Lonchura striata: one gene and its partner. The protein of the gene in region 1 interacts with the protein of each later gene in a biochemical or structural test. Links are inferred from orthologs where the notes say so. Each region holds a gene or a part of one and is shown in the gene's direction. Other genes may lie near its edges. The genes, in order: HNF4A and SREBF2.

Region 1 (9,290 bases):
TTCAGAGCCCTTATTAGGCAGGATAATAAACTCCTCTCCAGTCCTGGGATGAAAGGCAAGCACAGTGTTATCACCAGAGCAGTATATGCTGAAATGATCTGTCTGTCCCCGTGTTTGCAGTTCTTTCCCTACCACTTTTGCAGAGCAGCTACTTATTTTAGCTTCAATAATTGCCTCCAGGCCCAACATCATCCCAGCTTCTGCTGAACTGCACATGTTGCTTTTGGAGAGGAGTTCAGGCAGTCTTATACCTTCTTTACAGTAACTCTTCCCCATGCCCAAAAGCTGCCTCAGTTCTCCATATGAGAATTTTGTGGTCTGGGGACTAGGACAGTATTGGTTGGTTTGGCTACATTTTGATAATAACTCTGTTCAGAAGCAGCCTAAGGTTGCAAGGAAGCTGCCTCTGTCACCCTGAGTTGTGCTGGGGAGCCTGGGGTGCCAGCACATGTCACATGATGATCAGTGACAGTATGTCTGGGGTCTGCACAGGGTTTGTCTGTCCTGGCCATTGCCCCCAGCTCCAAACAGCAAATCTGCCCCAACCCCAGTGGCAGGCACTTCAGCCCTGGGGAAAGTAAATCACCAAGAGTGATTGCTGTGGAACAGGATGATAAAATTGATTGCATCTTCCCCAGGCAAGGTCTGGCACATGGCTGTGGTCTCCTTCTGCCTCTCATTGCTGGATCTTTCTAATCCACCTCCCTGGATGGAGCTGGTGGCTCATTTTCACCTCTACAAAGTGTTTTGCTCAGGCAGGGATGCGCAGTGTGCAGCTGGCAAGGGGCAAACGGACCCTAAACAACCTCTGCTGAATCATCTATTTCCCTGGAGGCTTCTCACAGCTTCTGGGGATGTTCTGGGGAGGGACATGGGAGCAGATTCCCATCTGTGTGTCTGTCATATGATTGCCGCGAGCAGAGGCAAAGATCTACCCCATGAGCTGGGGGCTTGGGCAGCTGCACTGACCTGCAACATTACAGCCCCAAAAAATTCCTTGGAGCTGCTTATTAACACACTGACAATTCTGCTCTGGAGTCACAGCACGCCAAGGTAGAAGGCAGGAGGGTTTGACAGTATGGCCTAAATACCTCTGTTTACAAAAAGTCTGACAAAACACAAGCCCTTGGCTTTATCTTTCCCATTTGGAAATAGTCACCGAGCAAATATACTCAAGGCATGAAAGGAGGGGGGTTTATATTGACTTTAGAAAAAGCTGTTCTTTAAAAACAGGAAAAAAAGCTCATCCTCGAGCTGTGCAGACTGGCTGCGAGACCCAAAAGAATCAGTGTAGGGGCTTAAAGCATGCCTGCTAATCTGTAGCAGTTCTGTGTGAGCAAGTCATGCAGTAAACTGCTCTCTGTTAATTTTTTAATGCAGAATAAACAGGTCAAGAAATGATTAGCATGAGAATAAGTTGAGCTTAATTGAGAGAATCAGAAAAGATGAGAGGGAAGAGCAAATTGGAGTTATCAGTTAACTATACAGAGTGGCTCTGCCTCCACAAGCTCATGTTCCCTCTAGTTTATCATCCCCTCTGAAGCTGCTTTTTTTTCCCCTTCCCTTACTTAAATGATGAACTAAAATTGCTGGTACAAGCACAATGGAAGCCCTTGTTTCTCCTTCTCCTTTTCTCTCTTCAATGGCTGGCCAAATGAATTGTAGGTGATAAGGCTCCTACCTGGTTATTCCCGAGGTTCTTCCCAGAAAGAAGCTGCTGACATTAAGTACAAAATCCGCTTTGTGAAAGTACCAGTGCTGTGCTCCAGTGCAAAATTTTCAGCATGATCCTGGGAGATCCAAGGACTGAGCAGACACGTCCGTGGGCAGGGGGAAGAGCAGTCCTCGGGACTGCTTGAAGTGGAGTTTGGTCAGTGGTCGGAGATCTATATTCTCAGATAGGCAGGACTTTGTCCACAAACTGGAATTTGAAATTTCAAAGGGGAAAAAAAAAAAAGGCAGAAGGGACCTTTGCATGTGTGGAGATGACTACGCTGGTGACGTTCCCCTGGGACTTTTGTTCTTTGTCTTGTACCTGGGCTTCCTGCTTCCCCACAGCTCGCTCGTGAAATGGCGACGGGCCGAGCAGGGCCCTGACCGTGCTCAGGGCTTGGCTGCTCTGCTGAGGTTCCACACCTGAGCCCATCTCTGCTTTGTGTGCATGTGCGGGAAAAAAAGGCCATGTGAAATATTCCAGCTCTACAGTGGCCTTGGAGCTGGGAGTGACGGGGAGCAGAGCTCTGGAGTCAGGGCTGCCAGGCCAGCGATGGCATTGCCGATGACAGCTGAGGGGAGTCCTGCTGGCCCTGGGCTCTGGCTTTTCTGCCGGGCACTTTATAAGAGTGCAGAGCTGTGAGAGAGAAAAGCAACGAGCAGGAGGGCCCCTGGTGATGGTCCATGCTCAGGAAGTCTGCAGGCAAGCCCAGACTGGGTGCCTGGTCGATCCACTGGCAGGCAGGGCTGCATCCTGCAGCAGCGGGGAGAGATGGGCCAGCAGGAACTGCAGGAGCATAACACACACAGGAGCACTTGAAAAGATGGGCCCAGGCTCGTCCCAGGGTGCATGGCTGGAGAACAAGGGGCATAAAAACTGGAGAGAGGTTCAGCCAGTGTCTAACCATGAGCACAGTCAAGCACCAGCTGGCTGCCGAGGCTGCTCTCCATCCTTGGAGGTGTTCAAGACCCAGCTAGATAAAGCTGCAGGGAGCCCATGCTGCTCTCACGGTTGGCCCTGCTTCCAGCAGGAGCCTGGGGCAGAGACTCTGAGGTTCCTTCTGGCATCAATTATCCTCTGATCCTACAACACCCTGTTCAAGAATCACCAGGGAGGAGCCCCTTGAGAGGAGCCAGCTCACCTGCTGGACATGCAGAGTTGGCAAGCACAGTAGGTGACAGCATCCTTTCCAAAAATGCCCTATTAAATACTCTGTCCCTGGTCCTCACCTATTGAGAAGCACAGATCTAATTTTCAGGGAATCCCCTTTAGGTTTGCATAAATTTTCCAGATGGGGGATATATAGATAAGGCAGAATTAGTGCCATGATGTGCCAGTGTGGGAAAGGATTTACTGCTCAACAGATAAAAATGAAATAATCACTTGACATAGAACAGGTCAAACCCCATAGCTGTCATGGTTTCCTTTGCAACCATGACTTGACATCGGAAACAGTGGGTGGAGTGTACAGAGAACCAGGACAGGAGAGAGGAGCAGATCTGAAAGATTAACTTCTCTGGAGCACCTAGTTTGGGAACAGCCTTCACTTATCAGTGGGGGTTTTCCAGCTATGAGTTGTCTCTCTGTGTGGATAAGAAAGGCAAGACGCCTTCTGTAGCCAGAAGTGTTTGAAACAGCTCCACAAGCAGCTGCTGACTTGAACATCTCCCACCTAAAACAGCTACAGACCTGTGGGGTCCTGTTGGTCAGTACAAGCCAGTGCAAGCAAGCTGTCCCAAAAGTCACCACATGAGGATGCCGGGGGAGACAACCATGAACTTCCCAGGCAAAAGACACAAGGGGAGACTTCACCTGCAGCAACAGTGCCCAGGGAGCAGCCAGTGCTTCCATCAGAGCTCATCTCCAGGGCAAAGGAGGTGTGTGGTGTCCTTGGCTGGTCTGGCCCTCGACCTCCACACCAACATGAAGGATTTGGGAGGGGCAACTGGTGACCCACAGAGGACACTGGTGGTGAAAAACAGCAGTCAACACAGTCCTGGGTGGAAAACACTGTGTCCCATTGACAGCCCCAGCCTCGTGAGCCACCTAATGCTCTCCAAACTTCCCTGCTCCTTATCTGCCTCTCTCCTGCACATGCTGCCTCTCTGATTTCTATTCCTGGCCCTTCTAATCCTTCCTGCCTGGGAAGTAAATGGCCTTTGCAGCCCCCTTGCTCAGCAGGCTATTGATGCAAAAGGTTTGTTTTGCTGAGCAGAGCAGAACGGGCCTTGCTTTTACGATATTTTACTAGACGCTGTGGCAAATCTTGCACATATTTGACCTGGTGTCTGTAGCATTTATCTAATCAAAGGGATCACCCTGGCCTGGCCAGGACTGGGGCTGAGGTCCCTGGGATAAGGCTATGGAAAAGGCTATGCTCTATTCTTGCATCTCCATCCCAGTCTGCACATCATAAAACCAATTTTTGGCAAGGACTGTATCTGCCTAAAGGAAGAGCCACCAGCACATGAGCTCTGGCCTGTCCCTCAGGAGCACTGACAGAATCACTGTTTCCCCTGCAGCAAAGGATCATTTATCACCATTCCCAAGTGAGAAAGCAGGGGCTCTCCCCTGTGCTCAGATTCACTCTGGCAGAACTGCAGCCTCAGGGTAGAAGAGCTGTTCAGAAGTGATATGTAGGTCATGGCTTTGGGGGGCAAAGGGCTGCTTGAACAATTCCGTGTGCTCCTAAAATGTGAATAGAAAATCTAGCACAACTGCCCAAAGGCATGTACTGGTGTGGAGCCAGAGACCTTGGATTCATGCTGTGGCAGTGATGGCACTATATCCAGGGCAGCTTATGGTGCCAGTGGGGTTGGGGCTGCATTGGGGTGCCTGGGAAGAACAAACACAAGGCACTGGGAGCCCAGATCAGCAGCGTGTGGACTCAGTCGCTGCTGGTTGCGAAACCACGGGGCTGTTTTCAATGCAGAACAAACTGATACCAAATCATTAATTGCTGATTCTCTTGCATGAGCCAGTGCTATTCAGAAATCAATTAAATTCCCGCTCAATGATCTCAAAATTGAGATCTGAGTCTCAATTAAGACTGAAAAGTCTCAGTTCTGGCTGAAGTGGAGGAGTGATGTCCCACGGGGCAGCTGGGGAGGAGAGCACAGACAGCTCTGCCCAGCACCAGTGGGGTCAGAGCCCAGGTCTGGTGCTGTAAGCAGACAGTGCACCCGCAGAAGGAAAGCTCCTGCTGCTCTGTTGGAACCTGTCTCATGAAACTTTTATAGCAGATCAGCCAGTACCCAAGGCTGGGGGTGTCAGCACACAGTGATTTCAGCTGTGGGACAGGAGCCACCCTGGCCATTCCCAGGGTGTCTGTGCCACCCCTCAGCCCCCCTCGCTGTTTGGGTATGGCTGCAGAATGGGATCTGTTTATAGGGCATCCAGCCTCCTGTAAAAGTTGGTTTATAGGGAGGTAAAAGGAGTCATATATTTCACTTTACATAGCAACGTGTAAATTTCCAGGCAGGAGCTGACCTTCTCTGACCATGAGGGAGAGAAAAGAGGGAGTGGAAGGGATGGAGGGAGCAAGAGAAGGGAAAAACAGAGGTGTAGGCAATCAGTGCTGAGGAGAGGAAGGCAATGACAGAAGTGGCGAAGAACCTTGTACTCTTGGTAGGGTTTTTTCCAAGTTTTCCACCCCAGGTATAATTAAGAGCAACACCAGCAGCTTAGCATCAAGGTCAATAGATCTTGGTGAGTGCCTGCTCCTGTGGTGCTGCCTGCACCCAGGAGCCAGGATCAGAAACGCCTTGAGATTCAATAATAAACAATCAACAAGAATCACTGCTGCTCCACCAAAAAAAAAAAAAAAAAAAAAAAAAAAAAAAGCTTAGCAGTATTCAGCAATGGGTGAGATGATTAAAGATTAACCCCCTGCCTCCTGCCTCCACCCCTCTGGGAGTATAGGCCTTGAGGCTCAGCAAATCCTTTCAGAGAAATATCTGAATTAAAAGACAACAGGTAGGGGACGCAGTGAAGGCAGAGGGAGGCAGGAGGGCCAATAGCCTGGGACAAGGGAATCGGTACAATCTGGCCCGTGTTTGCTGAGGATAATGCGCCTTTCCAAAGCCCTCATAGACATGGAGATGGCAGATTACAGCGCAGCGCTAGACCCGGCATACACCACCCTGGAGTTTGAGAACATGCAGGTGCTGGCGATGGGCAATGGTGAGTCTCCTCCACCTTCTCCCCTCTGCTGGGTGGGATGAGCTGGGGGCTGCAGGAGAAGCCCCTGGGGTGGCCACAGAAATGTTCCCGGGGAAGGAAGGGCTGTAAGATGGGGAGCTCCCAGGGAGGGTTCTGTTTCCCCAGGGGAAAATAGAGGGGAGAGAGCAGAGCTGTGTTTGGTACAGGCAGGGTGGTGTCCTGCAGCCCAGCAGGCCCGCTCCAGGAGCTGGCTGAATGAGAGGTCCCCTCCAGACATTCAACCCAGGCAATGGGGCTGGGACTAAACAAGGTGGGGGTCTCCCAGACCCCAGCCAAAAGTTTCTGCATGAAGTGCTGTTGATGGTTCACCAGACAGACAGCTGACCCTGTGTCTCCAGAGCTCAGAGTCAGCTCCTAGAGCAGAAAGGCATTTAGCACCTGGTAAGGGTGGAAATCACTGTCAGAAGTGATTTAGGCACTGCCGCTGCAGCTGCTGTGAGCCACAGCCCTTCCCCAGTGCAGCACTGGAGTGTGGGGTGGCATGTCCTTTCCTGCCTCAGCCCCCAGTAAGAGGGACAAGGGGACCTTGAGAGGATAGATAAATGTTCCCATCCCTTCTGGAGGGTAGCATCACACTTAATCCTCCAGAATTCACAGAATTCCAGAAATCCCACCCATCTGGGGACCAAAGAGTCTTGGTGATCAACTGTTCAGAGATAACAAGAGATTCCTCTCCAAGTCCCCCCTGAAGTCTCTCTAAATATGAGGTTAATGACTAAATGAAGCCACAGAAAGTGGCCCTCTGAGCCCTTTCCTTCCAGCCCTCCAAGCCCTTTTTCTTCCAGACTGCTGGACACCTCTGTCCCAGAAGGGCTGTGCTGGCTCTGTGGACTCTTCCATCACAGCCTGTGTGGGTCCTCCCTGGGTTATGGCTCTGTTCTGTCAGGGATGTAACACAGCGGTGGCAAAGTGGCTCTGCTGTGCAATAACCCCCCACCACTCTGGGTCCCAGCCCCTTCTCCACTCCTGCAGGCTGGTCCTACCCCTTCAGGTGCCTTAGGGATAGAAGTCACCCCCTTTGGCTCTGTTGATATCCATCTGCACACTCTGGGACAAGCTCAGGCCCTGCTCCCTCTCCGTGCCCCACTCTCATCCAGCAAGCATCTGCACAAGGAGCTGTATTTGCCCTGGACACAGGGCTGCACGGAGCAGAGGGACAGGATAATTTCCTGTGACAAGATCCAGTGTGCTGTAACACTGGGTGAGTCAGCTGGGGCAGGCAGCACCAGCTCCTCTCCTCCTGGGCCCAGCTCCAGGCCAGGGACAGCCCTTGCTTCCAGGGCTGTTTTGGCACTGCAGCAGCTGCTCTGAGGACACACCTCCTGCAGGACCTCCACCTGCAGAACCTGTGCCTCTTTTGCTGGAAAAGCACTGCCCAGAGCCCAGCCACTGCCTGCCACAGCTCTCCAGCTCAGCCCCAGGGCTGCTGCTCAGCAGGGACCACGTTTGCCTCTCACAGAAAAATGCATCCTGTGCTCAGACAGGCTCAGGGACCTTCTGAGCAGCTCCTGTCCTAACACAAGGATCAGCTGCAAGTTCTCAAAGACAGATTTTTTCTTTCTGCCATTTACCTTAACTCCAACCACTTGATTGCAGCCAGCCATAGCCCACATTTTTGGCACATATTTGGCAGAATAAACTCAATTGGAAAATTATCCATTAGGCAATAATTTCATTGTTGTTGACTATTAGACTGAGATGTTGCAATTTCTTTGATAAGAGTGCCAGTTTTTCCTGCTCTATGTTCATCTGATTACAGCCTGATAGATTGCTAAAAAGGGATTTATCTGGGCTGCCACAGATATACAAGTAATGGGATTACAGGCAGATCAGCTCTTCCTCTCACATCTAAGTCCTATGTTTAGCTGGAACTGAGAATTTGACTTTCCTTCTGGAGTGAGCTGCATTTAGCTGAGCCCTCGGGATATTCATGGAGAAAGGTTCTTTTCAAGCTGCTCACAGGAGCAAAAGACAGCCAGGATAGCCTTGGGAAAGCTCAGAGCTCTGGGAGTGGAGACAGGAGCTTTGCACTGGTGCTGCTGGAGCTGCGTGACAGGGTGTGCCAGGCAGGGACACAGAGAGGCAGCTAAGTGACTCACAGTGAAATACAGGAGGGACACAGGAATTGGAAAGACAGAAAGCAGGCAGGGAAATGAAAGGCCCTGCCAGAGGTAGGGAAGACTCAAAAATCCCTGTGCTGGTTCACTGCTGGTTCTGTGCCAGTTACTCCTGCTGAGGGATGGCATGAGGAGGATGTGCTGCACCTGCTGAAATTCCCTTTTCTCTGTAAAATGGAAACTAAAAATGCAGTCCTCCCCCAGCCAGACTTGCCTTGGCCCCGCCAGCACCACAGCTGGGCTACCATGGGGAGCCCAGCTGGGACCAGCCCTTCTGCTGGGTGCCAGGTGGGAACAGCTGTGGCCCTTCCAGGGTGAGCCTTAACTGAGTCCCTACAAAAACCCAGAAATCAGGAGCCAATCGACTCAAGCATTAAAAATACCAGCAGGTTTCTATAGCTTTGTAGATCCTGTGTATGATTTGTGACTGGCTTTTCCACTGAGGGAGGGGGATGTGCCTGTGCTGACACAGAAAAACTTACATGGGAGGGGACAATTAGATCAACTGAATTAAGGGCTGATCCCTTCAGCCTTGAGGTTTGTTTGGCTTGCTAGAGGGGTTTAGTGTAGCCCTTGTATGGTTTTTAGCCTTTCAGATGTCCTTTCCTCCAGAGACTGCTGCAATTCCCTACCCTCCAAAAAAAGCCCTGCAAGCCCCAGTCCCCCTTGGTCTGCAAGGACTGCAAGACAAATCAATTTCCACTGTGATCTTACCAGACTCTGGAAGATACCCAGCCTACAGCCTTCTCCATGCCAGAGTGCCACCTTTTTTCTTTAATCAGCCCTTCCTTGCATGGGTAGCCTTTGCCCACGTGAGTTTTCCAGCTGAAGTCATTTGAGTTTGCTATTTATCTAAAGTCTTGTTTTCCCAAAGGGGCTGTGCAGGCTGGGGCTCCATGCCTGGACAAGGGAACTGTTCACCTCATCTGCTCAGGGCTGTCTTGGGCTCTTTCAATGTAACAACACAAACACCTCCCTAACAAATCAGCTGCTCACCCCGAGCTGTAATACCTCCACTTAACTCTGCATCAGCTTTTTCTCTGGCCACACTACTGCAGCCCAAAGTGTCTGCAAATCCCCAAGGAATTTTGGCTCTGCCTTGTGACTCCTGCAAACGGGCTTCCACTTTATCTGAAGGCACTGCTTCAGCCAGGCCTTTGGAAGAGGGGTCTCACTATGGAATACAGGGAGTTTTAGTGCACCTCAAAATGCAATTATTTAAACACTGAGAGCTTACA
Region 2 (9,605 bases), on another chromosome or scaffold:
GCAGAGGGGAGACCTGTGCCACCTCACTGAGCCAGGCCCTGGGTCCTTGGGTTATGGTTTTTGGCAGGGTGAAGCAGTCTCTTGGAAGCTGACCAGGCTGGTAGGTCCAACAGAACATCTGTTTGCCTGGGCTGGAGAATTTTCTTTACAGCCTTGGCTTGTTGGTGTGCTTTGTGGCATTCAGGATGGCTGGAATATGGCTTAAGCCTCACACCACAGTGGGAAAAGGGGACAGACCCCAAACTTGGCATGGGGATTTCTGCTGCTGTCCTGGCTCTGCACTGTGTCAGAACAGAAACATGGGGCACATTGCTGAGCCTACACCAGGGGCAGCCATGTCTTCATCAATAATGCTGGTTGTATTTACTCTGGTCTGTTCCAAAGCACAACAGCAAAGTATTTCATAGGGTTTCTCATGTTTGTCTGACACTGTTCTCCTGCCTTTGCCAGGGGTGTGAAGATGCTTGGCTTGACCTCGGCAGGAGGTACATGGTGGGAGCTGCTGCTGATCCTTGCAGGGCTGGGAGAACTGCTGGTGCCTGCTTTACCTCTTTCATGGGCTTGGAGTTGAAATTGTATTTGTTTAAAAAAAGAAAAGCAACAAGAAAAGAACAAGAAGGGATTTGTTTTTGTTTCAGTGTTAGGGCATTACAGAGACAGGTTTGGGCAGGCAAACTTGGACTCAGTGGGTCATAGGGTGAGGTCGGCTCTGGTGGCCTTACACATCTGCTTGTCCTTTGGGGGCAGGAGGTGGGTCAGATGCCTCTGAAGGAGCTGTTGCTTTTGTAATTGCCAGTGGCCTGTGCTCACCTCCATGAAAACCTTCTGCCTGAGGACAGACCACCCTGAGTTCTGCTGCCTGGGGACTGAGCTGTTGCTCTCCTTTTCCAGGTATAGACTGTCCAAGAGGATCCTAATTTTCAAGGACCTTTTCCTCCAGCCATTGACTTTGTCTGAGGGACCTTTGTGGTCAGGAGCAGTTCTGCCCAAGAGCATCCCTGCAAAGCCTCAGATGCTGCCTGGGAAAGGACTTGTTTGGAAGTGGGGGGAAGTTACCACCAGGTCACCCAACTGTTTCTTGGTGTGGGACCTGCAGGTGGCACCCAACTTGTAGTTAAGGAAAGAGTCCAGGTACCAATACCCCAAGTGCTGAGTGGAGGTCACTGAACTGGTTGTGTTGGGACTTGAAGGAGAGATAGACTTCAATCCCTCAGTGATCCTTCTCTTCCTTCCAGACCTTCTGTTGTGGTTGTTGGGCTGCTCTGCCTCACAAACCCAGCAAAAACCTAGCTGTTATTTTTGGAAAAAGGGGTAGGTCTTAAATTTTCTATTGGGTCAGTGCTGGGTCAGATGCCTGGGGCTGGCAGTGCAGACAGGCAGAGAGAAGAGGGAGACCAGGGCTTCACTTGCAGGGGAGAGCAAGCTGGCTGCAGCATCACCATGTGTCTCTGCTCTGGCCACTAGATCCCTCATGGGGACAAGGGAGAGGTGGGCAAGGACCCTGGTGCCAAGAGCAGTGTGCCATCAGTTCCAGGTGGCTTTGTGACTTCTCATTTTGATAAGTCTCCTCACTGATCATTGGTTTTGTTGGTCTGTTTTCTTCCAGGCTGCAAAGGCCAACATGGATTTTCTCATCATCTGCCCCTTTCTACTGGCCTTGCTGCTGTCCCAGGGCAGCTTCACAGACCTGGAGAAACAGAGAGTAGACTCTGGCTTGGAAATCTGTATCCTCTGCAGCCTGCCACCCATTACCACATACGCACTAGTGGCTACAAAGGCTGGAGGGAGCACATGCACAAGGAAGAGGTCAGAGACCATGGAAAGGGGCACAAGGAAGTAGAAAAGAGAGGATCCAGAAGCACTGGGAAGTTGCTGCTTTGTCCTTCTATAGTTGGGCTTTAGCCAAGCTCCTGGGCTTGCTAACCAAGTGCCTGGCTTGGTGCAGGAATAGAAATGGCAGTGATGCCTGGTGTTCTTTCTGCTCCGTTGTGCACATTTCCAGTCTGCTCTTGGAAGTGGCATGGTCAGCCAGAAGGCAGAACACACCTGCACATCTCAGTGCTCTGGGGTCACCAACTGGGATGGTGGAAGGGGATTCTTCTGCTTGTGGCATTTTAGTCTCCTCTGTGCTACAGGCACTTTTTGCCTGTGAGGAGGTGAGCTAATGCAAGCCCTTCTTAGCACACATCTCCTGGTAAACAGGCAAAGTATGAAAAAATGAATATGTGGAGACACATGGGGAAGGTGCCAGTTGATGTTCCTCCTCCAGCCCATCAGCCAGAGCAGAGACTGGCAAGTAGAAAGCTCCCCACAAGGTCTCAGCATTGTTAAAGGCCCTGCTGGGGTGTTTGGGCAAGGGGTTCACTGGAAATCTGTGTTTTATCCTGGCTCAGGTTCTGCCCCTCAGACACCTCATGGAGAACTGGGGGGCCTGGGATGGTGCCAGGGGCCCTGGGGAGGAGGGGGAGAGCAACAGTGTGGTGGGAGAGTGTCAACAGTGCCCTTGACAGCAGTGCAGATAAGAAGCTGTTTGAGGTGAAGCGCAAGGACCAGATGAATGCTCTGAAGAACTTGATTGAGCTCAATGACGTCAACCAGCAGTACAAAATCATTGACATCATGCTCAAGGGACTCTTCAAAGTAAGCCACAGTGCACTCTGAGCCCACATGGGTGGGCAGAAATGGGAAGGGTTGGGGGCTTCTGTGGAGTGTGTGGCAGGTGAGCTTTTGGACCTGAAGGAAGGATTCCATGGGGTTTCAAAGTGGGGCAGCTGTGGCAGCACCTCCAGGACAAAGCAGTAACCAAGGACTTTGGCAGGTGCTGGAGGACTCCCGTGCTGTCCTCATAGCTGCTGATGTGCCTCCTGATGGGCCCTTCCCTCAGGATGAGAAGATAAAGGATGGTATGTCCTCTCTAGTTTTTACCCCTCTCCTTTTTCTGGTGCTCTGGTGCACCACAGACATTCTTCCTGGGATCAGTATGGGGTAGGTACAAAACCCCTATGTATCCAGTCCAGACCAGGGCTGGTCCCTGTCTGCTGGGGACCGTATTGCTGCCTCTCTGACCACTTCATGCTGGGGAGCCTATTGGTTTGCCCTCAGTCTCTGCTGATGGAGCTGGTGGCTGTCCCCACAGCATATTCTCACGTGGTGGAGAACACTGCCTTCTTCGGGGACGTCGTCCTGCGCTTCCCCAAGATTGTGCACCATTACTTCGACCGCAACTCCAACTGGAACAGCCTCATCCGCTGGGGCATCGGCTTCTGCAACCTGACGGGTGTGTTCGAGCAGGGACCCCACTCCCAGGTCCTGCGGCTGGTATGGCTCTTCGTCCCCCGTGCCGTGACCCCTCTCTGCTGCTAGGCTGGGGGAGGTGAGGGTTTTGGGGTAAAAGGAAGGCAGGGACCCCACATGTCTGGGGGCTGTCCTTGAGCTGAGGGATGGGGGAAGAGCACAGATGGGACTGGTGGAAGAGAGGATGCAAGTGGGAGGCACCACTCCCCAGTGAGGTTTCCCCTTTGCTTTGCAGATGGCTCAGGAGCTAGGAATCAGTGAGAAATCGCCCGATTACCGCAATCCCTTTAAAACGGACCAGTCAGAGGTAAGATGGCAACCGTGCCAACTTGTCTTGTGGGCCTCCCCATCTGTGTTACAGCTCCAGGCAGCTGGCTGGGGAATGGAATGGGAGGCCTGTGGGAAATGGCCAAAAGACCCTGTCACTGAATAAGCATGGCTGAAACACAAACACTGAATTCCCCATCTGTGCTCTACTTTGGGCACCTGGTGCCCTCTCCTCCCTTCTGTAGCCACCTGCCTCGTGGTTGGCCTCTGTCTGCCTCGTGCTGCATCCATGCTCAAAGCTCCCTGGACTGTGAGGCTTGTGGACTAGCTTTGGTGTGTTTGGAGGGGCTGTGCCTCTGGGAGGCTGTGGGCACTGCCCCGTGCTGACCCTTTGCTATCAACCCACAGTTTTTCCCCAGTGCTGACACCTTTCAGAAGGCGCTGCGGGATGAGGAGAAGAGGAGGAAGAAGGAAGAGAAGCGGAAGGAGATCCGCAAGGGCCCACGCATCTCCCGCTCACAGTCGGAGCTGTAGCATGCTGGGACTTGTGCCTTGCAGTGGAGGTGACACCACTGAGACACAGAGTGGCTTGCTCCCTTTTTGGCAGCTTTGGGCCGGTGCCTGGCCATTCCCTTTCCATTTGTGCTGTGGGTTTTGTTTTGTTGCCTTTTGTTTCTGTTCAGTGAAGGTTGCGTGGTGGTGCTAGTTGCCCCGAAGGGGCTAAAGTGAGATACCCCTTCTGCAGAGGTAAAGCACAGACAGGACAACACTGGAGCCATCCCCTGGTCAGGGTGTTGCTGCCTGTGGGGAAGTAGGGTGTGGGGGACACATCTCTGGTGGAGCCCAGGGAACCCTCCTCACTGCAGCACACCCCACACTGAAGATGCCTCCTCCAACACGGGTGGGCTGGGGCGTGCATCACACCAAACAGCCTCATGAGCAATGCTGCTTCTCTCAGTTTTGCTTTTTGTTTCGTTAAACGAGTGATCTCATTGGCACCCCCCACTGGGTTCTACCTGGTCTCTGCACAGCTGCTACCTCTGCCAGATCAGACCTTCCCTTTTCCCAGCGGCTGTTTCACCGAGCAACATGTGTTTCATTGTCCAACGTAGTTGAAAATGTCAATGGCAGCTGTTCCTGGCTGATGGCATGTTGGGGCCTCCGCAAGTCATTCCCACAGAGAGGCAAATGCCCGGTGAATTTTTGGACAGTTTGGAGGAATTTTGGTACTTGGCCTCTTTGCAGCCAGTGGGTGGCTGTAGTGCAAGCAATGCTGATGCTGAAGAGGCTGGGGAGCCAGCCCTGAGCCACTGAGAGCCTGTCCTGCAGCCATCCCTTCTCTTTGGGGCTCATCCTCTCTAAATGAGCCCCCAAAGCCCCTTGTCAGGGGGCAGCCAGATGAGGGCATGTGGTGATAGCATGGCCAAAATAGGGAGGGAGCCAACTTGAGTGGCTGCGACCCTCCACCAGGTGTCAGCTGCCATGGGGAACAGAGCACGACCCGACACAGCCACCCTGTGATTTGTCACCTATGCTGATGGCCTCGCACCAGAGCAGGCTCTTGCTTTCCCAAGGAGCTGGTTTGCTGTGTCAGGCTGGCAGCATCACAGCCTTTGAGGAAAGGGAAACATCCCGGGTTTTTTAACAGCAGAGCCAAGTCCCTCCATTGAGGAGAGGGGGTGGCAATGGGCGCAGTTGGTTTTTCTTGAATAAAATTAACTTTATTATTTTTTTTAAGTAGAAGAATCCTGGCTCTTGCTCCCGTTCCTGGTGGGAGCGGGTGTACGCCAGAAAGCGTCGAGGCTGGCCTCTCCGGAGGTGAGGGTCCGTGGGCGGTGCGGAGGGCAGGACCATCCCCCTGCTCTATCCACCGCCGCCTTGCATCTGGCCTTTCCCCGCGCATCCCGGCGGCATCCCGGGGCGCGTTTCCCGTGGGCGGCGGGGGCGGTGGCGTCAGCCCGCCCCCTCATGAATATTCAGCGCGGAGGGGGCGGGGCGGGCTATGCTAATCGCAGCTGCTGATCGCTGACGCGCCATCACACCACGCGCCGCCGCGGCCGCCGATTGGCCGGGGGCGACCTGGTCTCATTGACAACAAACCGCGGGGGGCGCGCGCGCCGGGGCCGCGGGGGCGGGGCCGCGGGCCGGCCCAAGATGGCGCGGGGTCGGCGGCGCCCGCCGGCAGCGGCAGCAGCCTCCCCCTGAGCGCCCGGGGCCGCGGCGGGCCCTGCGCGATGGAGGGCGGCGAGCTGGCCGCCGAGAGCATGGACACCCTGACTGAGCTGGGCGACGAGCTCACCCTGGGCGACATCGACGGTAGGCGCCGCGGGAAGGAGCGGGGGGGTTGGGTGGGGACGGTGCGCGTGGGCTTCCCACGCATATCAGGGGGAGCGCTCCGGTCTCCCCGCGCGGACCCGCGGCTGCTGGGGTAGGAGGCGGGGGTGGGTGGTCCTTGGATCGTGCCTCTGGAGTGTTCAGGGTGGGGGCGCTTCCCACGCGGTGCGGGCTGCCACGCGCGCGGGGGGAGCGGGCATCCCGCGTCTCGGGTGGGCACGGGCGGGGGAGCGGAGCGCGTCCCGCCGGGCAGCGCTCGCCTGGCGAGCGGACACGCGTGTCTCTCCTGTCACGGGAGCGCTTCTGAGCTGTTTCCGTGGGGCTGCCGCACGCCTGGAGTGGAGGCCGGAGCCGCAGGAGGGCGGTGGGGCTGTGGGGATCCGAGCTGCCGAGCCCACCCTTGCACCGGTGGGGGTCGGGGAAAGCGGTGACCGTGCTCCCTGCTCCTGCCGCACATCCACGGGGCAAGCGGCGGCTGCCCACGTTCCCCTCGCGTTCCCTCGTGGGTCTTTTAAAGTGGGTGCTAAACGATGGCTGAAGCTGTGCCTCCACTGGTGCCCGTGGGAGGCCGAGCCTCCAAGCCCTCCTGCATCGGAACAGCTCTAACTGCTGAAATTTCCCGTTTTCCCTGTCATCCTAAAACTTTACTGCATCGCTGGCACAGCCCAGACCTGTGAGAAACCCCCTGTTTTCCACCGAAGTGCAGCAAGATGAAGTGCCTGCGTGTGTCGCCTATTTTATGTATATTTTTGGCGACACCAGGTAGCCCCTGAAAACCCCATTGAAAGTGATATTTCTCGGTGTAGTCTGTGCTGTAGCCTGGTGGAGATGAGCTCCTGCCTTAGCTCACTGCTCTGCTGGGCTGTAATCCCAAACAGTGCTCAGTTTTGGGGCTGTCTAAAATATCCTTGTTTAGCTGCTGGGAGATAAAATTTTATCAGTACTTTTAGGTCTCTCTTGACACTGATTTGTCACATAGCTTGGGACAAAATTTATATTCCTTTTTTTCTTTTGTTGTAAAAGAAGAATGTGCCATATGCGGGTGCAGTGGGTTTGGTTATTGCTTATAAAGTTTGATAGTGCACATTGAAGGAGGTGTTTGCTGTTGCTTGAGCACCACATAATGAGTTCTCAGGTTCCATACGGAAACTGAGATGCATTTATGAACCCAGCAATGGCTCTGAACTGAGGTGTGATTCAGAGTGATGAGTAACTTAGGAAAACGAGCTTCACTTTCCTCCCCACCTCCAGGGGTGGATTTTCTCAGGGAAGGCAGGGGGAAGATACATGACAATCCTGCTTTTTTTGTGCATCAGCATGGATTCATCTCAGGGTTTGAAATTTTGCAAGGATTTTCATTTGGTTTTTAAGTCGTCTTGTGGGTGTTCCTCTCCTGTTCAGACTGAGGGGGCTCCTCACTGCCTGTTGTGTGGATTTTGACTTCTTTTGGCAGATGTGCTCTGAGATGTTAGTGCTCACTGGATTCATACTTCAAGACAGGGCACAAGGGTGGCCGGGGGGCCCGAGTGCTGAGCCCAAAGGCTTTGCCTCTTGCCCCAGCATAAGCTCCTCCACCAGTCATGGGCATCTTTTGCTGGCAGGGCACTGCTGGGTAACATCAGAGTACGAGGTTTGAGTCAGTGGGAGGTCGAAGCACATCAAGGTTCAGGACAGAGAAGTTGTTTCTGTTGAGGTGGGAGCCACTGCCTGGGAAAGGCAACTGAAACCCAGCCCTTGCCTTTCTGCTAGGTATTCAGGCCCTGGGCTGATGAAAGCAGCAGAAGCCCTTGGTGGGCTTAATTTTGATTTTGTAATACCTTGTTGACATTTTTTAGCCTTGGGTTGGGCTTGGATATTTTTCTACAGTAAGGTCACTGTGCTTCAGGGCCTGAGACCTAGATACCTCTTCGGCACAGAGGGTGCAGGTGCTCTGGTGACACTGATGGCTCCAGAAGCACCTGAGGTTTCTCACAGTCAGTGTGGATATTCTGCTTTCTAGGTAGGCAAAGGTGTTTTAAAAAGCAGAGATTTAGATTTTGGGTGTCAGCTGTTTCTCTTGCTTTTAATTTTTTGTGCGTTGTTATTAGGAAAGCTCTTGAGCCCTTTAAAAGAGGTGGATTTTAATTAAGACTGCCAGACTTCCTGGCAGTCTTAATTCTGAAAAAATTAAGCTTTAGACTTTTTGCATTCAGTCAAATTTAAGTCTGTCATAAGTAGTGATTTAACTTACAAGAGCAGGAGTAGTTTTTTAAATAATCTGTTAAATCTACTGCATTGAACAAAAAATTCTTTAAAGCACAGCAGTTGAAATTTTGTTCTTATGCTGGAATTTACTCTTCCAGAGCAAATCTTATCTGATTTATGTTTATTCCCTACTTGCAGTTGTGCTGTCTGATAGTTAAATAGCAATCAAATGCAGAGTTCAGGAAGTAGTCTGGATTATTAGTTTTATCACGGTGAGGGTTATTCGGGATGGTCTTAGCTGAAGTCAGTTGGAATGTGAAGAGCTATTTAGTATCTATCTAGATGTTGATCTTGAAACAGCCCTCTTTGTTCTGCTAGTGTTTTGTGAAAGCAGTTAAGGCAATGCATTAAAAAAAGAAATCTTTCATTCCTCTAGTGAAAAGTTGAGACAAGGGTTTGGTCCAGCTGGTCTCCAAGGGTGGCTGCTGCCTCATCTTGGGGGAGCTGTGCATCCCCACTTAGTGTCAGGTTGTGAACAGGTCAGGAGGGCTCATCTCCCAGGCTCCTCCCTCCAATAGACTCTCGTTCTTGAGAGCAGTGGTCATGGCCAGTGCTTAAATGTGTGTCAGGGTGTGGAAGGATTGCTATCCAAAGAGAAAAGTAGAAGTATCGCAGAAATGTGTTGGAATGTGTGTTGAAGGACCAAGAGGCTTGCAGGAGGATTCATCCCTTTGCTCTGTTTCAGACAAAGGAGTGTCAGACAAATTAATTGGGTAATGTGTGGGTGGCATTTCAGAAAGCTGAGTAAATTAATAGCCCTCTTATTGCTGGGGCATAATCCATGGAAACTTCTTGTCAAAAGTTTACTGCTTTAAATCTATTTCATAAATCACAGCAGTGACATGCTTTGGGGTTTGTGAATGAGAAAGGTCCTGGTGTAAGAAGCCCTTTGGTGTGTTTTTTCCTATAAATCAGAAATCTATTTTTTGCTTCCTGAACCCATATTTATTATTTTGTCATAATCTCTCTTAGATTTGTGGGTCCCCTCTTTTCCTGTTTCCAGAAAAAATATATAGGACTTTCAGAAAACCATGGAAGAGCCAGTGCCTCAGGGGCAGGTCCTGGGGTGGGGAAGAATGTCTGATTCCTCATGCCACTGCCTGCACACAGATCAGGGAAAGCATTCATATGTCTTAAGGTATTAAATTGGATTAGATGGAGGGAAGAGGAAGCTCTGCTTATGAATAATGATCTCTTGGTTGTGAAATGTTCACCTCTAGGGGGAAGGCCTATAGTGTTGCAGTAGGAGCTTCTTGATATGGGTTCATAAAATCTTGGAGAAGGTGGGATGGAGAAAACCTCTTGTCCAGTGATTGCAGGCAGAAAACCAACCAAACCAAGAAAAAGTTGTTCTGATGTTTTAAACACATGCATGGATCGATCATGGTACAGTTCTATAAAGTGGTGTTTCCTTTCATGGTTTTGCCCCTATTTTTGTTACGCTTGTAAGTAAAAGAAAGAGAAGA

Evidence for each region.
Region 2: the proteins of HNF4A (region 1) and SREBF2 form a complex in vitro, tested with the Homo sapiens proteins (2 studies listed by BioGRID and IntAct). The link is inferred for Lonchura striata from reciprocal best matches to the Homo sapiens genes HNF4A and SREBF2.

The regions. Positions count from the first base shown.
Region 1 is NC_134619.1:9,001,538-9,010,827, forward strand, and holds the start of HNF4A (hepatocyte nuclear factor 4-alpha), read left to right. Parts: upstream 1-5,674; 5' UTR 5,675-5,781; coding exon 5,782-5,896; intron 5,897-9,290. UniProt on the Homo sapiens protein: Transcriptional regulator which controls the expression of hepatic genes during the transition of endodermal cells to hepatic progenitor cells, facilitating the recruitment of RNA pol II to the promoters of target genes. Activates the transcription of CYP2C38.
Region 2 is NC_134607.1:58,258,029-58,267,633, reverse strand, and holds the start of SREBF2 (sterol regulatory element-binding protein 2), read left to right. Parts: upstream 1-5,705; 5' UTR 5,706-5,795; coding exon 5,796-5,877; intron 5,878-5,936; exon of another isoform or gene 5,937-5,989; intron 5,990-9,605. Other genes in the region: CCDC134 (coiled-coil domain-containing protein 134), read left to right, coding at 1,622-1,724, 2,519-2,640, 2,819-2,903, 3,137-3,318, 3,530-3,601, 3,970-4,095.